Linked DNA regions of Macaca fascicularis. The protein of the gene in region 1 purifies or fractionates together with the protein of each later gene. This does not show direct contact. Links are inferred from orthologs where the notes say so. Each region holds a gene or a part of one and is shown in the gene's direction. Other genes may lie near its edges.

Region 1 (5,174 bases):
TTTATGCTGAAAGATTTAGAGGCTAATGAGGAATTTCCTGGCAAGCAATTTGTGAGGGAGACCATCTAGGGAGGTATATGCCCTTTGCCATTGTAGGAACCTGGCTTATGTATGAGGCTATGACACAGGGTTGTGGAATTACAGCTATCTGGGAACAAAAAGGAAGGGAGTTTTGCCTCAGTTCCCAAGCATAAATTTCTTCAGCATGCCCCCACCATACCCAGCTAATTTTGTTTTCATTTTTTGTAGAAACAAGGTCTCACCATGTTGCCAAGGCCGGTCTCAAACTCCTGGGTTCAAGTGATCCTCCCACCTTGGCCTCCCAACGTGCTGGGATTACAGGTGTGAGTCACCATGCCTGGCCTTGTGGAGTTATTTTATTTATTTATTTATTTATTTATTTATTTATTTATTTATTTATTTTTGAGACGGAGTCTCACTCTGTCTCGCCCAGGCTGGAGTGCAGTGGTGCGATCTCAGCTCACTGCAGCCTCTCCCTCCCAGGTTCAATCAATTCTTCTGCCTCAGTCTCCCGAGTAGCTGGGACTACAGGCACATGCCACCACGTCCGGCTAATTTTTGTATTTTCAGTAGAGACAGGGTTTCACCATGTTGGCCAGGCTGGTCTCAAACTCCTGACCTCAAGTGATTGGCCAGCCTCGGCCTCCCAAAGTGCTTGGATTACAGGTGTGAGCCACCATGCCTGGCCTTGTGGGGTTATTTTCGAAAGTCCTTGAGACAGTCCCTATATCAGACATGCAAGCATGAGCCCTTCTGCTTGGTGTTCTCATGACTCCAATTTGTTTGGACTTGACAATGTGATTTTTGTCCTGGTATCTGCAACTTTCACAAGATGGAGCAACTCAACACCAGATTCCATCCCAAATTATTCCTTCATTCACTCAAAAAGTATCTAGGCACCAATGTGTTAGGTACCGTGTTGGTCACAGGGGATACCACGATGAACAAGAGAAGGAAACACAGGCTCCTGAATGCGAGAGTGAGGCATGTGGAAAGCAGACACGGAGAGCTGGGTGTGGTGGCTCATGCCTGTAATCCCAGTGCTTTGGGAGGCCAAGGATGGAGGATCGCTTCTGTCAGGGAGTTGGAGACCAGCCTGGACAACCTAGTGAGACTCCTGTCTCTATCAAAATAAAAAAATAATAATAAAATTAGCTGGGTGTGGTGGGGTGCACCTGTAATCCCAGCTACTCGGGAGGCTGAAATGGGAGGATCACTTGAGCCTGAGAGTTTGAGGGTGCAGTCAGCTGATATCAGGCCACTGCACTTCAGCCTGGGCGACAGAGCGAGACCCTGTCTCAAACAAAACAAAACAAACCACCACCACCAGACATGAGGGCCAGTGCAGCTGTAGCCTGAAGATCAAGGGCTAGAAAAGTAGAGGCCAGACCGGGGCCAGATCAGGCAGGGCCTTGCAGGCTGTGGTTAGTTGTCTGGATTTTATTGTGAGGGAAATAACACGACATGTCATTCATTCTGCAACAGCCTTAAGAACTAGGAGTTCTTATCCCAATTTTACAGACGAGGACGATCAATCAAATCGTTAACTAATTTGTCCAAGGTCACCCGCAGGCGACAGGCGGGGACAGGGTCTGGGAAAACCGGCAGGCACCGAGGCCCAGAGGGCGTCGGGCTTCCCCGCACCGAGTGCCGCCCGCCGCGACCCGGGAACTGCCTGCTCCCCGGACGCCAGGCCCGCCGCTTGCCGCGGAGACACAGAACATGCGCTGCTCGCCTTACGGAAGCCGGGAAGGAAGGGGGCGGGGCCGAGGCTGGCGGGCGCGGGGAAAATGGCGGCGGCGGCGGGTGCAGCTACAAACGGGACCGGAGGGAGCAGCGGGATGGAGGTGGATGCAGCAGGTAACGGGCCGTGCGCGGGCGGCTTCCGGAGACCTCCTTCAGGGGTGCGTTGAGGCCTTGCTGTGCTCCCGGGAGAAGGGAGGAGGGCGGAGCAGCAACATCTTTCTCTGGGATAAGTTGCGGGAGGAAAAGTGTGGCCCGGGCTCCGTCGTCCCCCACTGCTATCTTCAGGGAAGAACGTGGGGCCCGGACTCTCACCCTCTCTCTTTCCCTCCACCCTTAGTAGTTCCCAGCGTGATGGCCTCCGGAGTGACTGGGAGTGTTTCCGTCGCTCTCCATCCCCTTGTCATTCTCAACATCTCCGACCACTGGATCCGCATGCGCTCCCAGGAGGGGCGGCCTGTGCAGGGTGAGTGTTGGGCATAGACTCCAGTCTCCTCTCCTTGCTCACCTCCCCCAGACAGTGGTCTTTTCCCCTTCCTTTACTAGATCCAATTCCCCTCCCCCAAATCATCGTTTCCCCAATACTTGGTTCCCACTCATCTCAGACCCTCAGGTCATAGAAGTCTCTTTAACGTTACCTTTTCCATGTCATTCTCTTTCCCAGTGATTGGGGCTTTGATTGGCAAGCAGGAGGGCCGAAATATCGAGGTGATGAACTCCTTTGAGCTGCTGTCCCACACCGTGGAAGAGAAGATTATAATTGACAAGGAATATTATTACACCAAGGAGGAGCAGTGTGAGAGTGGAATAGATGTGGGGAAGAGGAGTGGGAGTTAAAAAAAATGTGCAAGGTGGGGAAGATGGAGAGGGTTGGAAAGAAACCCGAGAGGACGCCAAGAACAGAGGAGAAAAAGTGAAGAGAGTAGCTGGAGAGATCTCAGAAAAAGAACACGTTCAGAGTTCTTTCTCAAAAAGAAAGTAAAGGATGAGAGAAGACAGGATAGAAGGGAGTAATTATTCTAAACTGAGCCAGGATTTGAGAAAGGAGGAGAAGCTGGTGAAAATACACCAGGAGTTTCACATTGAGGAAGGATGGTTTAAAGGACTATGTCAGGCCGGACGCAGTGAATCAGGCCTATAATCCCAGCACTTTGGGAGGCCGAGGCGGGTGGATCATGAGGTCAGGAGTTACAGACCAGCCTGGCAAACATAGTGAAACCCCATCTCTACTGAAAATACAAAAATTAGCCTGGCATGGTGGTGCGTGCCTGAAGTCCCAGCTACTCGGGAGGCTGAGGCAGAATTGCTTGAACCTGGGAGGCAGAGGTTGTGGTGAGCCAAGATCGTGCCACTGCACTCTAGCCTAGGCAACAGAGCAAGACTCAAAAAAAAAAAAAAAAAAAAAAAAAGAATTACTGTGTGTTCTGGCCCTTTCCCCTCCAGTTAAACAGGTGTTCAAGGAGCTGGAGTTTCTGGGTTGGTATACCACAGGGGGGCCACCTGACCCCTCGGACATCCACGTCCATAAGCAGGTATACATGCTCACACCTGTGCATGCTGGGGCAGAGAATGGAGAATGAGGGGAAGGAGAAAGGTGGGGGTCACTGACTTCTGTGCATTGTCCCTCTCTTCCAGGTGTGTGAGATCATTGAGAGCCCCCTCTTTCTGAAGTTGAACCCTATGACCAAGCACACAGATGTGAGTAATACCCCATGCCTACTCTGTCGTGATTGTCACTGTTGCCTTTTACTGTGTGATACTCTTCTATTGGGGAATGCCAGGTGCCACTTACCAGCTGTAACTCTGTCTTAGTCATTTCATCTCCAAACTGTGAAGGGAGGTAATCCCTACTTCACTGGTTTCTTGGGAAGATGAGATGAGAGGAAATGGGTGAAAGCAGCTCGTCCAAATGTTGGCATATAGTGTTCAGGTTTCTCCATCTCCTTCACAGCTTCCTGTCAGCGTTTTTGAGTCTGTCATCGATATAATCAATGGAGAGGTAATACCCTACCCTTGAACCCTCAGATCCTGCTTTTGGCCTCTTTCCTGCTTTTGATTCTCCCTTTGTGGGTTACCTTGCCTTGTAGGCCACAATGCTGTTTGCTGAGCTGACCTACACTCTGGCCACAGAGGAAGCGGAACGCATTGGTGTAGACCACGTAGCCCGAATGACAGCAACAGGCAGTGGAGAGAACTCCACTGGTAATGGAGGGGATTACTTGGAAGTGGGGTTGGAAGGTGTGGCCACATCCCGTCTCAACCTCCTCCTGTCCTCGTCCCTTTGCAGTGGCTGAACACCTGATAGCACAGCACAGCGCCATCAAGATGCTGCACAGCCGCGTCAAGCTCATCTTGGAGTACGTCAAGGCCTCTGAAGCGGGTAGGACAGGGGCTTCCTTGGGCACTTCCCTGGCATTCTTCCTCTCCCTCCTGGGGAAGTGACAGCATCCAAACTAATGCAGCCTCTTTTTGTGCCTTTAGGAGAGGTCCCCTTTAATCATGAGATCCTGCGGGAGGCCTATGCTCTGTGTCACTGCCTCCCGGTGCTCAGCACAGACAAGTTCAAGACAGATTTTTATGATGTGAGTTTAAAACCTGGATGGGGAGGTGGGGCTCATGCTGTCACTTTCACGTGGAGGACCGGGGACTGTTGTTCCCTGGGCATGCCACGAGGGATCCCCTGAGGAATTTGTCCTTTCTGTTCCCTCCCAGCAATGCAACGACGTGGGGCTCATGGCCTACCTCGGCACCATCACGAAAACGTGCAACACCATGAACCAGTTTGTGAACAAGTTCAACGTCCTCTATGATCGACAAGGCATCGGCAGGCGAATGCGCGGGCTCTTCTTCTGAGGAGGGTACTTGAAGGGCTGATGGACAGGGGTCAGGCAACTGTCCCAAAGGGGAGGGCGCTACACTTGAGAGAAACCGCTGTCATTAATAATAAAGGGGAGCAGCCCCCGAGCACCCCTGCTGGTGGCTCTGTCCTCTCTGTTAGGCACCACACTGGTTTGTCAACTTGGATGTTCATCGAGGTTCATCGTGAGCCTTGCTCACAAGCCCTTCTGATGCTTTTCCATGAGGGAGGCACTGCCGTTTCAAGTGACCCCGTGTCAGTCACATGGACTGTCGTTAGCATCCAAGGCTGCCTGCTTCCACCTAAGCGGTCTCTGTTCTACACTTTAATGTCACTCTTGACGACATCTTATACATAGCCCAGCCCTATAAACATGACAACTGACTACTTTCCCGAGCGAAATTAACTTTTCACACATGCATAAAACAAGAGATAGTAAGCAGATTTTTATTAGAAACAAGTCCAAGCCTTGATCCTGTGGGCATTGTGAATTACCAGGAGGGAGTTTCTCAATGACCGTTTACTACATATTTTGGAGAGGCAGCTAGGAAGT
Region 2 (4,683 bases), on another chromosome or scaffold:
ACTACAGGCGCCCACAACCGCGCCCGGCTAATTTTTTGTATTTTTAGTAGAGACGGGGTTTCACCGTGGTCTCGATCTCCTGACCTTGTGATCCGCCCGCCTCGGCCTCCCAAAGTGCTGGGATTAGAGGCGTGAGCCACCACGCCCGGCTAAGCTGTGACTTTTAGGAAAACTATGTCTCATTTAAATAAAGTTGAGGAGGGAACTTTCTGTGACCAACCTGAGCATGTAGGGGAGTTTGTTTACATTGAAGTAAGGTTCCACGGGGCACAGTGGAAAGGTTTGGGAGGGAATTCAGGGATGGAGGATGGGTCATTGGGGAAGAAGCTGGGAGCTGTGTAAGGATGAGAATTAAGAAGATAGATGGCCTGGGAGGGGGTATGTAAAAAGGAGAAAATTAATTTGCTTCATAAATAGCCCAGTAGACTGAATTAGTGACTGGGCGCAGTGGCTCATGCCTGTAACCCCACCACTTTGGGAGGCTGAGCCAGATGGATCACCTGAGGCCAGGAGTTTCAGACGAGCCTAGCCAACATGGCGAAACCCGTCTTCACTAAAAATAGAAAAATTAGCTGGGTGTGTGGCAGGTGCCTGTAGACCCAGCTACTTGGGAGGCTGAGGCATGAGAATCACTTGAACCCAGGAAGCAGAGGTTGTGGTGAGCCGAGATTATGTCACTGCACTCCAGCCTGGACGACAGAGCTAGAGTCTGTCCCCAAAAAAACAAAAAAGTAGACTGAATTAGTTTATTCTGCTGTATTTAAGAGATCTAATTATAGTTCTCTGCTGTTTCACCTTCATTTCTCTGATACGGAAAGATTTGGTTTAATTTCCTTTAAAATTATATATTTGTATTTTTAAATATATATGCATCACATTATTGTTTTTCAAAGTAAGGGTAATGAGGTAAATGAAAAGAAAGCCTCTCCTGAAAACCCACTACCCAGGGACATTATTTTGGTACATATTTCTCCAGACTTTTTCTCAGCTAACAAATAATATGTGTGTTTAGTTTTTGAAGATGTACTCAGTATACTGCGGTCACTTGCTTTTTTTTTCCATACAACATCTGGTAAATATTCTTTGTAAAAATAGTTAAACTGTTGGCATCATTTTAAATTGTTAAAGTAATTTATTGTAGGACCGTATTATGTTTTAATAATTTGTTATTGGACTTTTGAATAGTTTCTAATTTTTTAATAATAAGCCTAGATAGAAAAACCTTATATGTACAACTTGGCTATTTATTTGAATATTTCCTTTAGGTAAATTTCTAGGAGTTTTCAGGTATACTTTTTAGTTTCATTTTTGTCCCTTTTCTCATAATTTAGTGTTTGGCTGTGAAATCCTTTTTATGTTGCTAATTTTGGAACATATTTAAAGTATATTTGATTAACAGTATGAAATCAATGGAATAGGCATATATTACTTGTAAGATAACAATTTACCATTGTTTGACATATATATGTGTGTGTGCGCATATATATTTTTATGTATATTTATTTATTTATTATTATTATTTTTTTTTTATTTTGGAGATGGAGTCTCGCTCTGTCTCCCAGGCTGGAGTGCAGTGGCGTGATCTCGGCTCACTGCAACCTCCACCTCCCGAGCTCAAGCGATTCTCCTGTCTTAGTCTCCTGAGTAGCTGGGACTACAGGTGCATGCCACCACACCTGGCTGCTTTTTGTATTTTTAGTAGAGTCGGGGTTTCACCATATTGGTCAGGCTGGTCTTGAACTCCTGACCTCAGGTGATCCACCCACCTCGGCCTCCCAAAGTGCTGGGATTACAGGTGTGAGCCACCGCGCTTGCCCGACATATGTACATATTTTTAAGAGATAGGGTGTTGCTCTGTTGCCCAGGCTGGAGTGCAGTGGTGCTATGATAGCTCACTGTAGCCTCAAACTCGTGGGCTCAAGGGATTCTCCCACCTCAGCCTCTGAAGTAGCTGGGGCTGCTGGCAGTGTGCCACCATGCCCAGCTACTTTTTATTACTATTATTATTATTTCATAGAGACAGAGATTTGCCATCTTGCCCAGGCTGGTCTCCAACTCCTGGGCTCAAGCGATCTTCCTGCCTTGGCCTCCCCAAGTGCTGGGGTTACAGGCATGAACTATTGATGTATCTTTAATAGATTCTTTTCCTTAGGTAGGAAAGCCAAAAACATTAGTCTGCAAACCTTCAGTTTGTCTTCTCCCAAAGGACTTGTACATTTTGGACTTAGGTAGTGGAATTGAGATAATAGCAAAAATTGTTAAAACTCCAAGTTAATATTCTCTTCTGAATGCATAGAAGTGTTTAACATTGTTGTCTTTGATTACTTTTTTTCCAGGTGATTCATGGCAGGGGACGTGGAAGGATTCTGTTCCTCCATCCATGACACCAGTGTCTCTGCTGGGTTCAGAGCACTGTATGAGGAGGGATTGCTTCTTGATGTCACTCTGGTTATTGAAGATCATCAGTTCCAGGCCCATAAAGCACTCTTGGCCACCCAGAGTGACTACTTCAGAATTATGTTTACTGCAGACATGAGGGAACGAGATCAGGACAAAATTCATTTAAAAGGTCTAACAGCTACTGGTTTCAGCCACGTCCTGCAATTTATGTACTACGGTACTATAGAGCTGAGTATGAATACCGTTCATGAGATTCTTCAGGCAGCCATGTATGTTCAACTTATAGAAGTGGTGAAGTTCTGCTGCTCTTTTCTCTTAGCGAAGATCTGCCTAGAAAATTGTGCAGAAATTATGAGACTCTTAGATGATTTCGGCGTAAACATCGAGGGAGTCAGGGAGAAGTTGGACGCCTTTCTGCTAGACAACTTTGTGCCACTCATGTCTAGGCCTGACTTTCTGTCCTATCTGAGCTTTGAGAAGCTCATGTCTTATTTGGATAATGATCATCTGAGCAGGTTCCCAGAGATAGAGCTGTATGAGGCTGTGCAGTCTTGGCTGCGGCATGATAGAAGACGCTGGAGACATACCGATACCATCATTCAGAATATCCGGTTTTGCTTGATGACCCCAACCAGCGTTTTTGAGAAGGTTAGTGTGTTTGAAAGTAATAGACGGTACTCATCATTTAGTTAAGGCAGTGTATGTCTTTATAGGTAAGATTCACAGACTTAGTTAGGAGCCAAGAATGAATAACTTATAAGAGTACTTTATGTGTAAGAAGCCTGATTTTTTGTGCATTTAGGTTTTCTGAAATACATTTTGTGGGTGAAAGATAAACCACGTAGGTAGTAGAATAGTTTTATTTTAAAAGTACTTTTAAAGTTGAAGCATAATTATTTTATGCAAAATATTACATGTTTGCTGTAGCTTTTCATTTCACAAATTAAATCAGAACCGAGTCAGACTAGATCTCTTTTTAAAAATAAATTTAACTAATACATGCAGAAATTGGCATTGAGAAGAGTTCTGCATGGTATACATTAATAGAGTTTCTTATTCTTCTAAAATATAGCAAGGACATACAAAATAGCTCTTGAAAACCAATAGGCCCTAATGGTGATTTTCTTCCCTACTCTTACTTTCTGGTTTTCCCTGTTCTACTGTGAATAGTAACTAAATTTGACAATGAAAACATGTTATGTGTCTAAAAACATCATTTTGGCATTTCTAAACAAGTAGACTATAAATCCTCTGTCTACATTGATCAACCATCCCTGGGCACATTTTACCATCTCTTAAAAATAGTCTTTCTCTGAAACAGCCTTGCCCTTTTTTTGCATGTAAGCATGTTCATTTTTATAGAGTTTCACTTGTGATCCTTTCTTGCCCAAAGGTCATAGAGCAGATTTAGTAATTGCTTAATAACTTAATTGGTTTCTAATCACATGGTTACCTCTGGGGCTCTGTTTACTTCTTGCATCTCCTCTTTTTTCTAGAAAGCACACTGAAAACTTGGTCGGTCACCTTTCATGTTAAATAGTTCCTCAGCTTTAGTTATTAGACCTGGTTATAAAAATATCTGCAAAGGAGGGTTGTTTATGCCATTTGAAAAATAAACCCATTTGCGCCTTTGAATAACAGCAGCCTGACATTTTTTTTCCTCCAAAATGCTGTGAAACTGAGAATTCAGTTTTGTGGATTTTTATCTTTTATTCTCAGAATGTATTGATACAGCAAAAATAATTGAAACTAAAGTATGTGTGTATATATATATATATATAATGTTTTTTAAAATTTGAGATGGAGTCTTGCTCTGTCGCCCAGGCTAGAGTGCGGTGGTGCGATCTCGGCTCACTGCAAACTCCGCCTCCCGGGTTCAAGCGATTCTCTTGCCTCAGCCTCCCGAGTAGCTGGGATTACACAGGTGCCCGCCACTGCGCCTGGCTAATTTTTGTGTTTTTTAGTAAAGACAGGGTTTAACCATCTTGGCCAGGCTGGTCTCGAACTCCTGACCTCATGATCCACCTGCCTCGGCCTCCCAAAGTGCTGGGATTACAGGCCTGAGCCACCCCCCGCCCAGCCAAGAATATATTTCTTAATTATTTTTGGTTTAGTGATAATCATCCCCACATCAATTATGTAAATCATTTGTCTCTGATGTTTTGATTTTTTTTTTCCTTTTGTTTTTATTGCTTTCTTTCCCTGGGGAATCCTGTTTTGTTTTGGGTTTTTTTTGGTTTTTGGTTTTTGGTTTTGAGATGGAATCTCAGTCTCGCCCAGGCT

What was found.
Region 2: the proteins of COPS6 (region 1) and KLHL15 purify together in Homo sapiens (affinity purification with mass spectrometry; 3 studies listed by BioGRID and IntAct, with this or other methods). This does not show direct contact. The link is inferred for Macaca fascicularis from reciprocal best matches to the Homo sapiens genes COPS6 and KLHL15.

The regions. Positions count from the first base shown.
Region 1 is NC_088377.1:48,741,463-48,746,636, forward strand, and holds COPS6 (COP9 signalosome complex subunit 6), read left to right. Parts: upstream 1-1,798; 5' UTR 1,799-1,811; coding exon 1,812-1,881; intron 1,882-2,104; coding exon 2,105-2,230; intron 2,231-2,428; coding exon 2,429-2,560; intron 2,561-3,207; coding exon 3,208-3,296; intron 3,297-3,399; coding exon 3,400-3,462; intron 3,463-3,715; coding exon 3,716-3,763; intron 3,764-3,851; coding exon 3,852-3,966; intron 3,967-4,051; coding exon 4,052-4,144; intron 4,145-4,245; coding exon 4,246-4,346; intron 4,347-4,476; coding exon 4,477-4,617; 3' UTR 4,618-4,736; downstream 4,737-5,174. UniProt on the Homo sapiens protein: Component of the COP9 signalosome complex (CSN), a complex involved in various cellular and developmental processes.
Region 2 is NC_088395.1:23,945,885-23,950,567, reverse strand, and holds part of KLHL15 (kelch-like protein 15), read left to right. Parts: intron 1-2,336; 5' UTR 2,337-2,343; coding exon 2,344-3,048; intron 3,049-4,683. UniProt on the Homo sapiens protein: Substrate-specific adapter for CUL3 E3 ubiquitin-protein ligase complex.